Mytilus edulis: one gene and its partners. The protein of the gene in region 1 purifies or fractionates together with the protein of each later gene. This does not show direct contact. Links are inferred from orthologs where the notes say so. Each region holds a gene or a part of one and is shown in the gene's direction. Other genes may lie near its edges.

What was found. Proteins that work in one complex are often made in the same cells at the same time.
Region 2: the proteins of NADH dehydrogenase [ubiquinone] 1 alpha subcomplex assembly factor 4-like (region 1) and complex I assembly factor ACAD9, mitochondrial-like purify together in Homo sapiens (co-immunoprecipitation; 3 studies listed by BioGRID and IntAct, with this or other methods). This does not show direct contact. The link is inferred for Mytilus edulis from reciprocal best matches to the Homo sapiens genes NDUFAF4 and ACAD9.
Region 3: the proteins of NADH dehydrogenase [ubiquinone] 1 alpha subcomplex assembly factor 4-like (region 1) and NADH-quinone oxidoreductase subunit B 2-like purify together in Homo sapiens (co-immunoprecipitation; 4 studies listed by BioGRID and IntAct, counting the BioPlex papers as one, with this or other methods). This does not show direct contact. The link is inferred for Mytilus edulis from reciprocal best matches to the Homo sapiens genes NDUFAF4 and NDUFS7.

Annotation. Positions count from the first base shown.
Region 1 is NC_092350.1:75,670,068-75,676,589, forward strand, and holds NADH dehydrogenase [ubiquinone] 1 alpha subcomplex assembly factor 4-like, read left to right. Parts: upstream 1-4,840; 5' UTR 4,841-4,945; coding exon 4,946-5,569; 3' UTR 5,570-5,965; downstream 5,966-6,522. UniProt on the Homo sapiens protein: Involved in the assembly of mitochondrial NADH:ubiquinone oxidoreductase complex (complex I). May be involved in cell proliferation and survival of hormone-dependent tumor cells. May be a regulator of breast tumor cell invasion.
Region 2 is NC_092344.1:87,965,020-87,972,321, reverse strand, and holds the start of complex I assembly factor ACAD9, mitochondrial-like, read left to right. Parts: upstream 1-4,287; 5' UTR 4,288-4,351; coding exon 4,352-4,591; intron 4,592-5,298; coding exon 5,299-5,386; intron 5,387-6,669; coding exon 6,670-6,771; intron 6,772-7,302. UniProt on the Homo sapiens protein: As part of the MCIA complex, primarily participates in the assembly of the mitochondrial complex I and therefore plays a role in oxidative phosphorylation.
Region 3 is NC_092347.1:29,798,178-29,806,154, forward strand, and holds the start of NADH-quinone oxidoreductase subunit B 2-like, read left to right. Parts: upstream 1-4,962; 5' UTR 4,963-5,016; coding exon 5,017-5,032; intron 5,033-7,598; coding exon 7,599-7,719; intron 7,720-7,977. Other genes in the region: E3 SUMO-protein ligase PIAS2-like, read right to left, coding at 198-265, 1,032-1,192, 4,930-4,953. UniProt on the Homo sapiens protein: Core subunit of the mitochondrial membrane respiratory chain NADH dehydrogenase (Complex I) which catalyzes electron transfer from NADH through the respiratory chain, using ubiquinone as an electron acceptor. Essential for the catalytic activity of complex I.

The DNA of each region.
Region 1 (6,522 bases):
CCGGTGATAAGTCCAATTTGGTAGCACTCAATCTTCCTAAGCCTGTTTGCATGGTTATTCCACACAGCCTTTTAAAAATCTCTCTTTTACGCAGAATTCTCCAGACGAAAAAAAAAATGACGTGACAAACGTCTTGAAAAGACAGCGTTTGAAAGGTTCCTCATTTGGTTTAGATACTTAAACATGTGGTAAAACTGATTCCCTGGGATCTCAAATCTTCCCTTTTATTGAAACATACTTCAACTGATCACCAGAGGAACCGTATTAAGGATTGATTACAATATGTGAATATGTGAATACCATCTACGGAAGCTACCATTTGATTTTTAAGGGGGTGGGGGCTAAGATGAAATTTGAAAAGAAACAGAACAGAAGTTTTGAGTTAAAAAAAATGCAGGATGAGATACTTTGCCAAAAAAAGGCAGGATGACAATTCAAATAAAAAAAAGTCGGGATAAACTAATAGATAAAAAAGGACCAAATAGAGTAAAATATAAAAAGGCAGGACAGAGATTAAAACTAAAAACACAAAAAAAGTGCAAGACAAAAATTTTCATCCTAGCCCCAACCCCATTAAAAAAAGGTATGATTCAAGTGCCTTCTTCTTAATCAAAATATCTTAGAATCCCTATTACTACGTTTCACTTAAAAATTTAAATTAAGACTTGATAATTTAAAGGATCGTTGTCCTGTTTCTTTACTTAGGGCAAAAATAAAACGATCAAAACCGCATGCAACGTGTTTAAAAAAAATGTGGATTATTAACACGATATCTGGTTTCTATCCTCAATTGCAGAAGGGCATATCTGTGCAGTGGCGGATCCAGGGAGGTCCGTGGGTTGGACCCCCTTTTTTTGGACGATCAATGCATTTGAATGGGGACATGTAGTTGGAATCCCCCCTTTGTCCTGGGTTAGGACCCCCCTTTTTAAAATGGCTGGATCCGCCCCTGCTGTGTGAATCAGTCATATTTTTTTTCGCCCGCTACAGACCATACACATGAGGTAATTCATTGATTCCGACACAAAATGTTTGTCCCTTTCTAACGTGTCCTCACTTTTCAATTGGGAGGTAAAAATTCTATCCTTTATCCTTATTTTGATATATTTCCTATAGGCAGATTCTTTGACAAAGACGCTTCATTGAGAGTTGGGATAATGATAAGGAGTTATAATATAAGGCTATCATATTCCAATAAATAAAACAAAATAGTATAAATATATATGTATCATTGACTAGAGGTATAGGGGGAGGGTTGAGATATCATATCACAAATATGTTTAACCCTGCCGCATTTTGCGCCTGTCCCAAGTCAGGAGCCTCTGGCCTTTGTTAGTCTTGTATTATTTTAACTTTTAGTTTCTTGTGTACAATTTGGAGTTTAGTATGGCGTTCATTATCACTGAACTAGTATATATTTGTTTAGGGGTCAGCTGAAGGACGTCTCCGGGTGTGGGAATTTTTCGTTGCATTAAAGACCTGTTGGTGACCTTCTGCTGTTGTCTGCTCTATGGTCGAGTTGTTGTCTCTTTGACACATTCCCCATTTCCATTCTCAATTTTATATAGTATAAAAGTGTCTTGAGAAATTTGTTAAAAAATTATATATATGAATGAAAATACATCAGAAAAGTTCAATGAAAAACTATCAACTAAAAAGTAAATATGCAGAAAAAATCAACACATGTATCTTAATTTAAGTTTTCACGCAAGTTTTAGAACGGACCATATTCGGACATAACCATTTTATTCGAATAAATCAAGAAAAGCTCACATATATGTGCATAAGTACAACAATCAAGATAACACAATCTAAATTATCGTATAATAGATTTTTTTTAATAGCAAAATCTAATAATGAGTAATCGTTTTTGTTTAAAGAGGGGCGTAAAGAGGGGTAGAAGGTATCTGCACCAAAGAACGCGAAGTAAAATTGTTATTTCACGATTAACGAACAATTAAAAATGTCCTGCACGTTGATCTTTTTACCGATTTCACGAAACACGGTGAATAACGAACCTTTTCACGGCTGCACGTGAAATAAAAATGGCAAAACACGTTGCACGAAAATAATCCTTTACCACCCTCTTTAAATATTTAACTTCCCTATTTGTCCTTGGAAATACGTTCATTTCATTAATGCATGGGAGTCAATCAATGCAGAAAACATCAATAATATTGCAACATTATCTAATTGAGTGGGTTTTTGTGTGCGTCCAGAAAGTTATAAAACATCATGTTATACTTATTTTCTCAGACTGTCAATAGAAATAAGAAGATGTGGTATGAGTGCCAATGAGACAACTCTCCATCCAAGTCACAATGTGTAAAAAGTCAACAATTATAGATTAAAGTACGGCCTTTAAAACGGAGACTTGGCTCACACCGAACAGCATTGGTGGAAATTGAATAGTATGGGTTAAAATCATCGGATTTATTTTTAAATAAACAAATTTATGAAAACTGGGAAATTTAAAAATATTTATGTTTTAATTAAACACCATTTTTATATTTGAAACATCACAAACATGTTTTTTAATAAGAAAACTGACAATTTCATGATTAAAATGATATAATAGTGTTTTGAGTCAAAAACTAAGATTTCATCATAAAAACATATGAAACCGTCAAATATATATGTCAAATATTATAACTCCATTGTTTTAAACATAACAAAAAGATTGTATACGGAAACAAACATACTTCCTGACCAGAAATTAATATTTTGAGTCAAAAACTAAGAATTCTATCATGAAATCTCGAGACACAGGAAACCAAAATAATTATCAAATATAACACAAATTGAAACTTATCATATATGTAAACATAAATACTGAATCAGTATTGAAAAGCTTGAATGACAAACAAAAGTCACGATATATTTCTTAGTCATAAACTTCCTTTTTTAAAAACATCATGATGTATAAGTATCATTTCCTATCACTTCATAATGCAAATTAAAAAAAGGTTCAAATCCATAGGTACAAAACGCAGTGAGTCCGTCAGCCACCGCCAATTCTTGCATTAACACTGTTGTACAGGACCGTATCTTTTTATGAAATAAAACCATTAAGATAAAAATGTTCATCACCCTACCACAATATTCATCCAAAATGGAGTTCGTGCGTACAGTATGAACAACATATTGACAATTACTATACAAATTGATATTTCACTTGATAATAGTATGCATAAGATATGCATTGAAAATTTAGTCTAAAATCAAGATAAGGTCACGTACAGTTTTGTGTTTTAAGGGGAAGGATGTAAGTTGTTGAGATCGTTACACGCCAAATATCAGCGTTTACAATCTACTTTTTTTCTAAAACTAGGTTACAGTTGAAGACAGAATAAGAGTATATTAAGTAGGATTTTATCGCCAAAGTTTGGTGCTCGACTGCATCGACCCCCTTTTATGCCCTAGTCGAAAATTTGAAATGCTTTGAGACTTTTCAATACTGGGCGTCCGTCCGTTGGTCGTGCCGTCCGTTGGTCCGTCGTACCGGTCTTGTTAGCGCTCTCGTAGGTACAATTCTTTCCAGATTCAGTTTTATAAAACTTGTACTTCAAGTCAATATCAGCAATATCGACTTTCAAAAGAGTTATGCCCCTTGAAAATATTAGCCACGCGATTACAAAAGTTATCATTATACAGTACATATGTTTGACCTCATCTATGTTCTATTTTTAGTCTGGTGATCATGTTGGTTTGGTTAGCAGTGTTATCGGACACATTACAAGGAGAATAATTACCGAATCTTGTTTCAATTATCTCAGGAGAGTTTTTTTTTGTAAAAGTCAACATAGTCAAACAGACGACATTTGCCAACTGATAAGAATAGCTCACATGTCTGTATGGTTTAGTTAAGCTAAAAATGATAAATAGTAAATAGTTATATACTAATTGAAATCTTGAAAAAAAATGGACTAGAAATCATTATCATGACTCCAACACCATAAACAAACCCAAACAACATCCAAAATTATTATATTAGCAAAGTTCCAAAATAAGTTCTAAATGTGTAATCATTCAGCGGCCAATGATAACAATATAACCACAGACCAATTATTAGATACTGATGTACCATGTGTACACAAAAATACTGTTTTTTTTATTAGAAATATAACTGCTATAAAACGTCGTGCGACAGGACAAAATGTGTAACATCATAAAGAAGAAACCCAAAGGCTTGATTTACTCAAAACACTCATGATACAAATCAGTAAAAACGCGGACATGCAGCAACCATTGATCGACAACCACTGAAGTATCCTAACTTTGGATAGCAGTCTGAAAAAAAGATAAAACTATTCGCCCCTATACAAATATCCATGTATTTAAACATCGAAAAAACAATTCAAATATATCAGAATGAATTATAAAAGCACGCCATGCCAAACACAACGTACAACTTCAAGTTGGTATAATTTAAATATAATTTGTTACAATACAATGTTGCTTTTTTTTTTATGGTAATCGGATTTTCAAATATTGAGGGGTGTAAAAGCAATCACACAATCACAAATTGGTTTCCAATAAAATCCCTTACTAGATCATTTTTTTTAAACAAGCCCGTAATCCAGAAAGTTATACAAATATGTTCCTAGATTATCACTCAAGTTGTCTTGAAATTAATATTTGGTCTGGTTATCAAATAATCACTATAAAAACGACAAAGTAATCACATTACCAAAACTCCATGAGTACGGGCATCACTGAAGAGACATTGATTGTTGGAATGCGTATCTGGTACCGTTTATGGGGCTTTATGTTATGAGAGGACGAAGACGAGTGTCTGTTGATTACGATCAATGATAACCAATGAAAATGGGTGTTTCAAATTGGTTAAATGTCATTAACTAGCACGATACGTTGTGTAAGTCAACTTGAAAATATTGGAGTGTACAAATAGAAATATAAATTATTTCTTTTCCCTAGCATTGAGATGGGAAACAGGATAAGTGAACTTCTACCTACTGTATCGAGAAGTTTTAAAAATTACAACATTGAAAATCGATCACACAGGTTTATTCAAAAAGACAAATTACCAGCAGCACCACGACATGACTCCACCGCAGATATACTGGACAAATTCTCGAAAGAACACCCAGAGTTATATGAAGCTCAAAAAGTCAAGGACAATGTGTTAGACGAACGCTTAAAAACATTACAAATAGATTCAACTGGGAAAAATCAAGATATTGTGGCCAAAAAAATGCCTGAAAGTAGAAAGGAAACAGAAGACCCTGAATTCGGATTCGATGAACCTGCTTCAATACCAGAAGGGAAAGTGACTCTTCGAAAAACATTAGAATTTATATTGAATCATCAAAAATACCCTGAAGAATACACGTCCGAACAAGTTGCCAAAGAATATAAGTTGGACCCTGTTCAGGTCAAACATGTGTTAAAACATTTTCAGACTTTTGAATTGCATGTATCTAATGAATTCAAGAAAAGGAATGAAAAAGCTGTGAAATATTTGTCCTCACAAAGACAAGAGCCTACTGTTTATAAGCTTGCTGAGTCGACTGATTTATCAAAAGACAAAAAAACAGCAAACAAATAAATTTCATCCTTGTTCTAGTTATTGTCCGTGAATGAGAATGAACTATCTCTGTTCATGCATTTTGATATTGAAAGAAATAACATGCTTACATATTTCAAACCGGGTTCTCTCGCAGACATTTGTCAGATGCAGATGTTACTTAACATTGACAAAAAATCCAAAACTTGTTTGTTTCTTTTTATTCACGTGATGTGGATGTCACAAAATGAACTTGTGAGATGCATTAGACATCTTTTCTAGCATTTTGATCTTCTACATATGTAACACATACTTTAGTTACCATGGTTACTGAGAGCATGATGTAGTTTTGTTACACATTAGGATATTAAATATTCTAATGTATGTATACACTTTGATTTGTTTTCATTATGTGTTCATAAAAAAATGAAAAATCTTCATGATCTTGTTAGTTTCATTCAATCAATGTACATACAAAAAAAAAAAATCTTAAAAAAATTGACCATTTGGAACAACAATCATCATGTTATCTCTGTGTCAACTTATACTTTATTAACTGACCTTTATAGCCTACATATGTATCGTAACAGTATGTACTTGAGCACTGTCCACCAATGCTTTTTATAGGTCTTTTGACCTGAAGAACCATGTGCAGTAGAGCTATTCTTTATATCACTTGGCATCTGTACATTGTACATGTTCAGTGTTTAACTTTTACCAAACTCTTCTAATCTGAATATGTAGTGTACAATGTAAATTTTTGGTTTAATAGAAGCCAGAATCATCCTTGAATCTTGTTTAAAAGATGGTCTTACATACATTTGTCATGATTTTGTTTGCAAACAAATTTGGTTGCCAAAGCTAGAAATAGAATGTAAGGTAAAACACTTTTAAATGAGCCACCGTTTAGCTTCAAGGGTCATCATAGTCATTGAGCTCGAGGGTGCTATTAATTTTTGTCAGTGTGACAGATTTAGAAATTTTTAATTTAGCAC
Region 2 (7,302 bases), on another chromosome or scaffold:
TGTTGGTTTTTATACGACCGCAAAAATTTTAATTTTTTGGTCGTATATTGCTATCACGTTGGCGTCGTCGTCCTGCGTCGTCAAAAATTTGATCAAAATCCAAATTCAGAGCTGTATCACGCATAAATGTTTTGTCCATACCTGCCCCAACTGTTCAGGGATCGACCTCTGCGGTCGTATAAAGCTGCGCCCTGCGGAGCACCTGGTTTACTTTATATTTCAATAAGTAATTTATAATTATCAAAACAAAAGTTAGATACACAGAAAGTACAAAATGCCTAGATTCTTTTCTTTATTAACTACATGTGTGGGTCTTAAAGGAATAAAATGCTACGAAACATTGCAAAACGGTAGTCATTTTTTCCAAACGTATCAAAACGTCAAATAATCTGAAAAAACGCTTATTACCACCGTTACATGTGCTTAATTAGTTTCAATGAAATGCTCCTGATAATTAAACAAATCGGGTGGTGAAATTTGGAGCAAGATATTGAAGGCTGTCGAAAAAAAAAATGGTGCATGTTGACTGACTCGGAACATAGAATCCACACAGATTAAATTTGGCTATTTTATAAATCTTTTTAGCTTTTAGCGATTTATTGCTGATAGAGGCGACAAATTTCACAGTTTAGTTGGCGACTTGTCCTGCTACTCATGTTATAGCTGTCATAATGGAACTAATTCCTGTACTAGCGAAGTTGGGCCTTTCCGTCAATATAAACTTGTACATGAAACGGAGGTTACTGAATGACTAATCGAAAACAGCAACCAAAACTATTTCATTGAATTACAGCCGATTTCAATGTTTTAATAATCTAAGAAGTACATTGTAGTCATTTAGTCTTGATGTTTGGCTTATGATATACCTAAATATCAAGTCTTAAAATAGTATTTCATGGTTGTCATGTAGTCTTGATATTTGGCTTATTATACTTCTTAGATTATTAAAACACCCTTTACCCAATGCTAAACCTCCAATATGGTTATATCATAAGGTCACATGATTACCTCATAAAAATTCAAAAATAAAATATATTTAAACAAGAATGTGTCCCCAGTACACGGATGCCCCATCCTCACTATCATTTTCTATGTTACGTGGACCGTGAAAATGGGGGGAAATCTCTGATTTGGCATTAAAATTAGAAAGATCATATCATAGGGAACATGTGTACTAAGTTTCAAGTTGATTGGACTTCAACTTCATCAAAAACTACCGCGACCAAAAACTTTTACCTGAAGCGGGACTAACGGACGGACAAACAGACGGACGGACGCACTGACCAGAAAACATAATGCCCATAAATGGGACATAAAAATGTCTTTAAGTTCTTAATCTATTGCCCTACTGTATATTGGCATCCAAATTTCTTTAAAATTTTATTGTTTAAGAGAATTTTTAAACTCTTTTTTAAATATTGTTTTTTTGTAAAGTTTAACGGTACTTCAAACTTGTTAACAAAAGAAAAGTCTAAATCTACATGATCTTAGAATTTAATATATGTTTGATGTTTCCTATCCAAGATTCCTGGTTAGGTTTGTTCACAGAATGGGATAAATTTATGGCCTCCCATATAGGATAATATTTGAAGGTTCAATTCTTTCATACGATGATTCCAATATTTTATCATACTGATAATTACATAATAAAGTGTAGGGAGTTAAGGTAGCACAATATAAAGATTTTTTCACTCCCAATCAGACAACTTTAAACTGATGTAATTCATTTCATCCTTCTTTATATTTTATAAATGAGGTACCAAAAGAAAGAAGAAAGATTAATCTTTCAAATTGTGATAATTTCATTATGACATAATCATTACATAATTAATTATTATGTAATTAGTCGCTATATTGTGATGTCCACACTTGAATGAATTTAGCGTCTTTGTTTTTCATAGCATCCCAAAATATTTTATAGATTCTTGTACAACACAGCTTGACCTCCAAAACTGTGTCTCAGATTTCCAAAAACATCAATAGAACAAATTTTATACCCAATTGAACTTAGTGGTCTCTAATGAATTGATGTTGCAAACTTCATTGAAGATTTATGAGAGAATGAAATACAATAGGAAAAATCTGAGACACAGTTTTGGAGGTCAAACTGTGTTGTGCAAGAATCTATAAAAAAAATTTAGGATGCTATGAAGAACAAAGAAGCTAAATTCATTCAAGTATGGACATCACAGAATGGCAACTAATTACATAACAATTAATTATGTAATAATTATGTCATAATGAAATTATCACAATTTGAAAGATTAATCTTTCTTCTTTTTTTTGGTACCTTATTTATAAAATTTAAAGAAAGATGAGTGGAATTACATCAGTTTAAAGATGTCTGATTGGGGATGAAAAATCTTTGTATTGTGCTACCTTAATCTAGTTCAACTCTACATGCCATATTTGATGTTTTTAAATTACTTCCAAGAAAACTTACAAAACTTAGTATGAATTTTCTCTAGAACAAGATAATCAGTTTCTTTTGATATGAAGTTATCCATATATTTTTGTTTCTTATGTGGTATATAACCCCAAATTTCATATCCATACAACAAGATAGGTCTGATTATAATGGTTATAAATATGTAATGAAGTAATAGATTTTGGGCTTTCCACTGAAAAGGTCTTCCTTAATTTGCAATAAGCTGTCATTCTTTTATTATTATGTTCTATTCTTTGCCTTTTGAAAGTTCCCAGATGCTAAAAAAAAATATTCTCAAGTATATGTACTAATACTAGTTCTGTACACATTCTAAAATATGGTTTCCTAAGGATATTTTAATAATTTTATGTCGTCCTGATTTGTTAAATACTTTTGGTCTTTTAGGTAAATGTTTGGTGATAACTGTTATTTTACGTTCAACTACTACATGTACTAAATTAATTTACAAACACAATTTTTTTTCAATGATCCAAACCAAAATCTGTGGCATAGCCCATTTACTGTAACTTAGCATAAAGCTAAGTAAACTTAGTATAATATACTTAAGAAATGCAAAATTAGGGGTCAAACAAGATAACTGATAGTCTCACAAGACTGTTAGATTTGAAATGTAATTCCAAATTGTTGGGTTACTTCATTTATTATTACTGAATTTATTTATTTTATTTATAATACTTGTAGATACTATTTTTGGGTATTTGCGCATATGTAACGTTTTGCTCATGAACATTATAATATTTCCCGTTTTTAAGTTTTATGACGTTTCGCTTTTGACGTACGTTACGTTGTCTAGTTTTTTATTCATTGCAAGTTATTTGATATTCGGAGACACATCATTATTTTATAGAGAGATCATAATCAGTAAGAGATAATTTATGTACATTTTTAAGAACAATATTTATTTGAAGAAGAAATATTAAGAATTGTAAAAGTATTTATAAATTAATATTTATTCTAATTAACTTTTTAATTCAACAAGTTACTTATGAAGCGTGAAAGAAAGTGAATCATATTGTTTGATTAGTATTATGCCTTTAGTGTTTTAAGTTATATTTTAACTTACGTGTATTTGTATTTTATTGTAGAGAATCGGTTGTTATGATATAGTATATGAAGCCAAAATTATATGTACACAATGTAGTTTTGAAGAATAAAGATACTTATATAGACCGCATACTCGACTTATCGCCTTATTTGATGTCTTTGATGTGATCCGTTACAAAGACAATATTGAGTCTTGATCATGTTAATGAAGTTATGAACTGCTTGTTATAAGGGAGTCCTTGTAGATAAAAGGCTGTGATCCAGCATTATCATTGAGAAAATGTGTTGCTCCAGATTTTTTTAGTTTATTTTTATTTTTTGTAAATGTGAGCTTGTATATTTAATACATTGTATATGAACAAAATTATGTATAATTTGGGATTTTAAATAGAAATAATTTATATATTGCCTTTTATGCCTATTGGGTTGTAGTTTTATAATTATAAGATCACTGAAAACAGCATTCCGAAATAAAGGAAGATCTATATCATACAGACATTATCTAAAATGAAAGGTTTATATTACATACATTGAAGTAACACCTTATCTGTCCTACAGATTTTGAACAAGGAAGTAAAATATCTTTCACAAAGCTTGAGTAAAAGATAGAAGCTCTATCAGATTGTCTATTAAAATTCTATTTATGAATATGATACTACAAAAAAAAATTCTAAATTTTAGATCAATAAATTATGTGATTAATACTAAAAATAAGTATCGTAATCAAGGATAAAAGTTAATATCCTGGTATAAATATAGTTTATTTCTATCCGTTATTCAAACCCTTTCGTCTGGTTCCCGGGTTGGTTTGAATACACAGAGGAACCAGTATAAAAATAGAAATTGAAACTAAGAAATATGTGGTCGAGAACAAGTTATACTCTACGGTATTTTTCAAAGGATAAACTGTTTTCTTCTAACAAGCACATTGTAAGGTTACAACGTAGAAAAGCTAGTAGCGGTTCTATTCAGAAAGCAGATCTAGACGATAAAGAAATAACTCAAACTAGTCAAAGTGGAGAGTATATCCAGAAAGCATTAAAACCTAAAACGAATGATCCATTTGTTAAAAATTTATTTCTTGGAAATTTTGATAAGGTAATTATGAAAAAAAGTATTAGCCGATGCAACAACTTTACATGATCTTCCAAATACTGCTATTTCCAATCAAATAGAAGAGAAAATGTTATTATAAAATATAAGTGGAGGTTACATAAGCACTATACAGCTTTTTGCCCACAATAATAATAATACATCTACATACAATGAACCTAATCGCTATTGTCGGCCATTACTCTGAGCTGTTACTGGATATCACACAGGTTTCCGTGAAATTTTGACATCAGAAATAGAATTTATCTGACGCCTCAATGGTAAAGTGATTGTTGTATGACGTCAGTAGTTCAAGCGAGACAGATTCTTGGGTCAGCCTGGAATAGCAATAATGTGTAATGTGTATGTAAAGACATAAAATCCTAAACATTTTAATATGAAAATATGATGATTTCAGATGTTCACTAGACCTGTGGGGTAATCACAATTCTGATGAGATTTTTACCATGGACTAGCGATTTTGTTGATTTTAATTTATTGCGTGTTATTGCCTAAAAGAAATGTGCTACAAAATAACTGTGTTCAATCAGCAACTATTGGGAAGGTTGTCAACATGGTCAACATTAACAGATAAAGTGTAAATATTTTGTACAGAAATTCAAACACCATTTCCTGTAAAATTATAAATTTTAAGTGACACAGACAAAAACAAAGTATTCGTATGTACAATGTAGATGCTTTGACATTTTCAGGATGCTCTGATATACCCTGAACTTACGAAAGAACAGTTAGATGATATAAACCAATTGGTGCAGCCTATAGAAAGATTTTTTGATGAAGGTAGTTATTCATTCTGTACAAGTTTAATATCCTTGGTCCATAATTATACAACCGCAAAAATACAAAAAAAACTGAGATTTAGTTTGAGGTTAGTTTTCCCGAATATGTAGGAATAAGGGGCCAAAAAAGGGACAAAAAGAAGCATTTTTCTAGTTTACAGACAATAACTTGTGTTTAAGTGTATGGATCTCTTTAAATTTTTACAAGAAAATTAAATACCACTAAAGGAAGGTTGTGATTGATCTTGGGGGTTATGGTCCCAATAGTTTAGGAATTAGGGGCCAAAAAGAGGGCCCAAAATAATATTTTTTGTAGTTTTCAAACAATAACTTATGTTTAAGTGTATGAATCTCTCTGAAATTAAACCACAAGTTACCATACCATGAAGAGATGGTTAGTATTGACTTTGAGGGGTTATGGCTCAAAATGTTTCGGATTTAGGGGCAAAAAAAGGGGAAAAAATAGGTATTTCTGTTCAATGGACAATTAAGACAATTTAAAAGCAGTGTAAGGGAGGTAATTCTAAAACATTTAACATACAATATTGGGTACATGTATGTTCTGGTTTACCTCCCTTACACTACTTGTATATTATGTATTAAGAAATGTCAGGTCTTGGACTAATTGCAAAAAAAGGGGGCTGGTAGTTGTTTTTAATTTTTTTTTCAAATTTCTAAAATTCCAAATTTTTGAAAAGTTAAAAGAAGAAATCTTTAATTGCACAATATTGCGCAATAGATTTGTAAGATCTTGACATTTGTTTTGTGTCAGAAACTCATATTATGTCAAAAATTTGATCGCAATCCAAATTCAGAGCTGTATCAAGCTTGAATGTTGTGTCCATACTTGCCCCAACTGTTCAGGGATCGACTTCTGCATTCGTATAAAGCTGTGCCCTGATGAGCACCTGGTTCTATCTTATTTTAGTCTTTGAGGTTCATAAGATAGATAATAATAATAAATTGTAGTCATGATATTTAAAAAAATTAAATGTCTCTATCTAATAAAAAAGAAAGAAAGTTAGTTTATTTTTCCTGTCAACATACTGCTCTTTCTATGCATGTTTTGACCTCCCAAAACTTAAAAATTTAACAATGTTAAGGGGGTTGTAAAAATAGTACTTGTGGAAGTAAATTTTGGGAAAAGATCAAACTTTGAAAATTAAATCCAAGTCTTCCAAAATTTTCTATACAAGTAAATATTACTAACACTTTCAAGCAAATGAAGATGACTTGTATAATTTCCCTGGCTGACTGATAGAAAAGTTTTCAACTTTGTTGTAGTTGATTCAAAGACAATAGATGAAAAAGCTAAAATTCCTGATGATGTTTTACAGCAGTTAAAAGATTTAGGGTTATTTGGTCAACAAATTCCTGAAGAATATGGTAAGTAACCTTTATTTAGATATAAGAACATGTGTTATGAGTGCCAATGAGACAACGATTTGTAAAAGTATTAATATGAACCATCATAGGTTAAATTACAGTCTTCAACACAAAGCGTATGCTACATGTATTATTAATAACATGTACATTTTCTCTATTGATCTCTATTGGTACGCAAATGTAAAATTGTGCTTTGAATTTAGTGCTGATTCAGAAATAAAATATTTGTTATGATACATGTAGTATGATATTTGTCTTTATTTATTCATTAAAATATGAAATATCCATATCCAATTTTTCATCTCTAATAAGACTTTATTTACAAAATATAACACATAAGTAAAAAAAAAAATACAATTTCAGAAAAAGAAGAGCAACTATAAAAAAGAATTATTTAAAAAATGGGACACCAAAAATAGAAAAAAATATTTGATGGTAGAATTGACATCAAAATAACAAATATCAACTAATTGCAATACAAACAAAACAATTAATTAAATTGCTTACACATGCCGGTGCAGTACGTTTGCA
Region 3 (7,977 bases), on another chromosome or scaffold:
TAATGGTATTGTTTTATAATTGTTATAAACATTGATTTTCTATTACTTTACCCGAATTCAAAGGAGGAAAACTTATGGAATTAAGGCCAACCCCAAAATATGACTCTTTCAATTTTTGTACTGTTATAATTTGTTTTGGGTTATAAGACAACAACATGCTTCTTCCATCACCAATTATACATAGACATAAAACTTACTGCTACTAAACATAGGACCTTCATCAGACTTCCCAGGTGGCTTCCTCCTGTTAGATGAAAAAATTTGACTGCAAAGATAACAAATGATTCTGCTCAAGGATCAGTTAATGTTCTTCTAAATACATATTGGAATTGAACAAATAAGACAACAATTTAACATTACAGCATACTTACATGTACAAATGTATATGGTTTCTTTATAATACTGAGAAATAGAACATTGCCAGTGGTGGTCATGTTATATATTTATATATTTTTCGTTATTTGCAGAGTTCGATGTTTATTGTAGATCTTCAGATTATTTCTGTTAACTGTCATATGTAACTATTTTTAAATTCCTGAGGATTCAGCTTGTACATATTTTACACAAGCACCGGTCTATTGATGATGACTATGTTGCCCACTTGAAGTCTTTTGGTTTGATGAATACTTTTGGGTTGCTGTCTCACTGCCATATATACCCCACACTTTTCGATGAACCCATTTCAATACATATAGTTCATTGTCATCAGATTGTCTATAAAGACTAAAGAAACTCTTGAGGCAGTGAAGATGAAACTGATCAGTAAATATTTTGAATTTCAGCCAATTTTTTTCAGTACAGTATATATATTGTAAGTCATTTTATTCAATAAACATAGTAAAGCTACATGTAAAGTTATTATGATTTCATGAATATTTTACAAATTGTCTAAATATAGAAAAATGCCAGAAACATTCCTACAAACTACCAAATATTAACACCAACACAGGTATAATTTTTTTCTGGCCTATATAATTTGTATGTACATGTACAACTGTATTTCAGACAAATGATAAACAATGTTCACTTACTTGTATAATTCTCTGATTTTTATCTGTATAGGTACTGAGGCACCTTTCTGTACAAGTTGTAGAGCTCTTTGCATGAGCTCTGTTTTTCTTCCTGTTTTATTTCGACCCGCATATCCCAATAAAACTTGTAGTTCAGACACCCTGAAGCTCATAACCATTTGCTAAAAAAAACAACATTAGAGATATGTTACAAACAATACGTTGAGATTTATTCTGGTGATGATAAATCCGGGACTCATTCCTTTTCAGAATTAGGGGAACAATTCTCAAGGCATTAGTGATGAATCTTGTATTTTGAGATAACATGAAGGAGGTTTTTCAAAACATTGATGTTTTATATTTTGAATTGTATCCATCTTGTGATATACCTGAGTGAATTAACAACAGTATCACACATTTATTTGTACTGTCTACATGCAGGGTTTCCGCTGGCGGTCGCCATTTTCGCAATTTGCGAAAAAATAATAATTGTGGCGATTAAAATTCTTCATTGGCGAAAGAATTTGGCGAAAGAAATATATAGAACGAATTATTTTCCTCCATCTTGTTTATGTACTTTTTTCGAGTTTTTCGGACTTTACCTGATCAGACATTACTCAGAATTCACCTTGACCTCATTAAGATTTTGACAGAAAATCAATAATCAGCTGATTGCATTTTATAGTTATCGACAACAAAGGACTAATTAATAAAGGTGTTGATTGAATTGTTTGAAAATAATAATATGGTTAAATGGCTTCCGCTAAATGTCACATACAGAATTTATTTACCACTTTGCGACGCACGTGTTTGAAGCAAACTTTTGGCGTCTCCTCTCCTTTTAAAGATAATTCAGAAAAGAAAACTGTTGTGGTGATGAAAAATGTTCAAAAGCAAGAAAAATCTCCGATATAAAACTTTTATTATCCTTTGACTTTTATATATATAGGTAATTAATTAGAGAGACTACTTTAAAGTCGTTTGAGTGACACACGTGTTTCAAGCATAGTTTTACGTCTCAACTTTTTAATTTACTATGGCCAAGAAAAGAAAACTGTCGTTATGAAGAAATCTATCCAAAAGGTTGGGAACAACCCCTCGAATGAGAGTAATTTTTCAATATAATGACTACACATGAAATGAGGGATCAGTTTCATGTGATAAAAGCTTTTTCTTAGTACCAAAGGGATTATCAGTATTTTTCTGTTAAAAAACTTTCCCTACGAACTATACTGGTATTATATGATCAAAACATGTCCATTAATTTTGTTATATTCCAGGATTTATATTTTCTTTATTATAAAAAAAAGTATAGTGATCCCCTCATTTAGAAAAGTTGTTTAAAAAAAGGTAAATTTTAAACGAAAAATATATTTATGTTACTTGGCGAAAAAAATAATAAAGTGGCGAAAAATATATTGTTTTGGCGAAAGAGGTGGCGAAAAAAAGAATTGACCCAGGGGAAACCCTGTCTACATGTATAGTTGTAAACTTCTGTCATTTCGTTGTCTCATGTAAATCATAGAACATGTACCTCTTCTTATTTTCATATCAATCTACACCAGTTGAAAACTTTATACTTTTAAACAAATGAAGTATGGTAAGTAATTATTGATGATAGCTCCTTCATTTTATATACATGTAGTGAACTGCATACCAATTTACATTGGTCTAACACTTATGGTTCCCCTTGAACTGACCTACAAATGTATATGTAATCACACAAACTAATACATGTAAACCAAGCAAAAGTTTCAAAGTCAATAGACCATAACTGAGGGGACAGAGTCAAATAATCTCAGAGGAAATTAGATGTGCCAATACAACTGCATACCAAATATTATTGACCTACCACAAGAGGTTCACCATAAACTACACCTAATCAATCGAAGAGCAGATTGCTAATCTGCTCTGAGGGATACGATTGCCATTGGCATTGTTTTCATTGATACATGAATACCAGTAGTATTATTTTCAAAAATAATTCAACTGCGCGTGTAAAATGCTCATAAAATGTAATTTACGTAATCTGAATAGTTATTCAACTTTAAAGTTTAAAAATAGCCAATCCTCGATACAAGTGGATGAACAATGTACTTATTGTGTTTTATTTTTGTACTATCAATTCCAAGTTTACTTTCCACAGCAGTCACTGAGAGTGAGAGAAGGTATTTCACTTCGATAGTAAGACTAAGACGAACTTCGTACCTTATCACCTATTTTCCTATTTGAATTCTAGGTGGAACCCCATTCCTAACTCTTTAAATATTTAATTTCCTTTGGGTCAGTGGGCATGACTCCTTTCCGTACACATACCTCTGTTTAAACTGCAATCGGTTTTAATATAATACGACGTCTATTGACAGAACAGGTTAATTTTTTTCGACGTATCGTCGTTCGACGGAAGTTACTTACGGAAGGGAGACAACTCGAAGTGATAATATGGAAGACTGCATTTTGGCTGAAGGGGTGTTCTAGTTTAAACGAGATCTTGAGACTAAAATATGCAAATATTTATACTTTTTTTACCTCCTTATAGAGGATCGATATCTAACATTTAGTAGCCAACCACGATTTTTCACCTCCTTTACAGGAGATCAGTATTAAGCATTTAGTGCCAACCATGATAACAATTGGAAGCTCTCGGACATTTAGATCACTTGCATCCTAAATGAACGAGGTATTAGATTATGCATTCATATTGACCTAGGGTCATTTGCATACATTATCTCCCATAGTCCATTGTGCTTTACTTTTTTCTCGTTGATCACATGACAATCTTTCAAAATGAAAGTTAAAATGCCAGAATTAATGGGTTACTGTCAAAACTGTCTAAATATGAGAAAATTAAAGGTGACAGGTACATTTGTAGGTGAAACTTATTATATAAATAAATAAAGAGATAAATGAAAAACGAACAGATTGATGCCAGATTTGTATAATTCTTAGACCGTTATTCGGCACCAGAAGCGATGAAGCAGTGCATCTATTTTTGGTGGGCAAATATCCACTTTTTGATATGGGACAAGCTCTGACGTCCCACAGCCCGAGTCTGGCAATTCAGCTGTTGGACGTCAGAGTAATCTGGGTCTACATATGCAGTGTTTCATAATTCACAAATCTGTTTATTATACATTGTCATGATTGTAAAAGAGGATTTCCTATAAAAAAAATTATTAAGTATGATCAGAACTACGAACATGCACCAATAACCTTCCAAAGTTAAGCACTAACCTTTTTTTTATACATTTACTATTTTATATATTCAATATTCAAATGTTTAGAAACAAATTTACATACTATGTCCTTTTTCACAGGTAACATTTTCCTCATATTATGTTAAATAGCAAACAAGTTCAGTAACACAACTGTGAAAGTGTAAGTTTTTTTTCAAAATAAGGAAGTCATTAATGCTTAACTTGGAAATTTCCATCTTGAATTTAAAAATTGAGCAAAAATATAAACATATTTTCGGTTTTGTATCAAACTTCCAACATAGTTTATAAATAGAACGACCTTGACACTCCTTGGATCTATTAGCCGTGACGATAAAATGTTCCCGCTTCGTGATTTTAAACATTCAATGTGAAAAAAGTTGTTCGAAAATTTAATATCTGTTCAATGTACATGACCGTTGTTAATAGTTCTGGTTAAACTAACTCTATATTATGGCCGAATTCCCTGGGATATTAAACTATCGACCAAAAACACATTGTTTTCAAATCTAGGTCACTGCTAGTTGACGAGGATGTCAAAAATATCGAAATAAAAGCTTCTTTATGTTGATCTAGAAGGCGAAAATATATATAAATTTAGATTTACAGGAAGGAAAATACATCTATGTATTCGATACAATACTTAAAATAAACTTACTTTCAATAAAATTTATGAATCGATAGAAAAATTGAACGACACTTACCTTGAGCTCTCCAGCGTCCGCCATTTTGTTTAATTTAATGCGCAAGCGCTAAAAAATGTTGACCTCATTTCCGCTAAAAACACAGCAATGGCTGGGAAAAATTGTAGGTTATGAAACTTTAAAGGACAAATTCCTATAAACAGACAACCAGAATTGTTACAGCGTCGCCATTCGGTGCAGACAAAATATTCATTGTCATGCTTTAAGGGCACACATAGATCATCATCTCCCATGCATTAACTTTTATACAGTTGAACGTTTTAACGCGAATTAAAAAAAAAAGGGGGAGATATTTTTGTTTTTTGTTAAGTGTTATTTGCAACAAAAAAGACTTGATTTACTTTTAAGAAACATTTATACTGATTTTACCATGGGTTGGACCTTTATGCTTAATATTTTACCACAAGCTCAATAAATAAAAATATATGACATGGGAGTATAATACACCTTATCGCTATTTGTCCGCCATTGCTGGAAATCACACAAGTTCCCGTAAAATTTTGACGTCATAAAACAAAATATCTGACGCCACAATGGAAAAGTGATTGTTGTTGATGTAAAAAGTTCAAGCGGCCGGGTCAGCCGGGATTAGCGATAAGGTGTATTGACTATTGTAATGATTTTATAGGGTTGTGTATATGTGTTAAAATATCATGGGGACAAAGTCCCCAATTACGGTAGAAAAATCGACAAAAAAAAATAAAAAAAAAATCAGGAAAATTTCCAAAAATTTTCATATTTACTAATGAACTCAAAATCATTAACTTTTTTTTCAGACTTTTTTAAATCCCTGCATTTGCGCAGAAATCTACTTCCTTTTCCGGTCTTGTTGGCATGAGACTTTGAATAATACATATATTTATCAGTTTACTAAAATATAAGAAAGGAACTCAATACCAATTCATTTTTGATAATTGTTTGATATGAAAAAACCGTTACCTGATGACGGCATTTCTTTGTTTACATTAAATATGACGTCATTACTTAAAAAAGGTCACAACTAAAGCCCTAACAACAGAACCAACATCGGAAACGTTACAGTGTTTCCGTTTCTTTTATTAAGATGTTTGAATCAAAAAATATAATTCATACAGACTTCGTCCCTATTAACAGGTAATGCCTGCCTCATATTACCTGAATATAACAGTCTTAGGCTTTAGTCATTTGGTCATCAATCTGGTCGCTCATCCATGTGGGACGTCTGATCAGGATAACATCTAGGCTATTGACTCAAATATAGCATTGGAAATCCCGGAATTCCTTAATTGAAGTAGTTGTCTCGAATAGGGCTCTTCACGGTTAGTTTGGCCATATTGGATAGGGGGCAGATTTTCACAATGGAGGTAAAATTAGTGTGGGAACACATCATTTAAACAGAGCAGTTGCTTAGAAACATGCATAGGATTTCCCATACTTTCATACTATTTCCACCTCTTTCAAAAAAATCTGCCCCCTATCCAATATGGCCGAACTAACCGTGAAGAGCCCTATTGTACATTGGTAATAGTAAACCCAAGTATATGTAGTTCCAAATAAACTGATGTATACCATATTCATACCAGTATGATCAGAACAACCCAACAATATATTTACAAGGGATGTGTACTCAAAGCGTATGAAGAATGTGTACATGTACGTCATATTAGAATACACTTTAACAGTATTTGTCCCCCATGACTGGACATCACAAAAGTTCCTGTAAAATTTGACGTGAGTTTTGCTTAATGTCAGAAGGTTATTTGGAGCAGATATAAAGTCATTTGGAAACAAAAATCAACTAAATACATGTATTATGCTACACAAAGACAACAACATCATAGATTACTGAAAGGAAAATATAATTTTTTTATTATGATCTACATGTTTCGCCACTTAAGGTGGCGTCTTCAAGACAGTTTAAACATAGTAAACAAATACTGAGGTACATAAAATGTGGTGCATATGGCCTAAACATACTTTTATCCTGAATTTGCATTTAATTTGGTGCTGAACAGTAAACAACCATCCATCATCATCCACTCATTAACTTAAAAGAGGGACGAAAGATACCAGAGGGACAGTCAAACTCATCAAATTGAAAATAAACTGACAACGCCATGGCTAAAAATAAAAGGACAAACAGACAACCAATAGTACTAGTTATTAGTACACATTACACAACATAGAAAAACTAAAGAATAAACAACACAACCCCCACCAAAAACTAGGGGTGATCTCAGGTGCTCTGGAAGAGTAAGCAGATCCTGCTCCACATGTGGCACCAGTCGTGTTGCTTATGAGATAACAAATCCGGTAAATAGTCTAATTAGGTAGGTCACATTTATGTAAGGGAAGGGGATTGTAGTTATGACGTAAGGAACATACAAAATGTATCTGATATCATTTGTGAAACGGTTATTCCATAACAGTCTACCAACTGGTGATGGTGTCCATAAAATTTACAAAGAGATGATTTCAACTTCACCATTTGGAACTCTTGATTTAATAGCTTCCTTAACTATTTTCATATCTGTAGTGATGAACACAATCTATATTTACATGGAAAATCTTTGAAATAAGTCAGTTCCACAAATTACTTTAACCTTTTAAACCTAATTCTTTAATAGATCCATAATCCAATTTGCCAACCTCTATTCTTAAATATATATATTAAAAATTTCTATTTTCAGTGTTACTGTTGAAGAGCGGTTTCAATCCAGCACTAAGTCTGTTATTAAGAAGACCAACTCCATTAACAGCAGTATGTAGGTCAGCAGGCTCACAGAAACAGGCAGTTCAAGAAACAAACAGGTATACAAAAAGTTATACCAATAAATTACTGAAATGTTTAAGTGGTAAATTCATTAAAGTTACTCTGAGAGTATGGTACATGTACATTGTGTAGCTAAGATGTTTACAAAAAATGTAACTCTGATAAAGGTGAAAAAATGTATAATCTAAAATATAATATTAAAAATAACTTGGTCCAAAGCAAATAAATGTTATCAAAGGAAAATGGTTATATTCATTTCTGTAAACATGGTCTGGAGAAGAAGAAAGCTCTTAAAT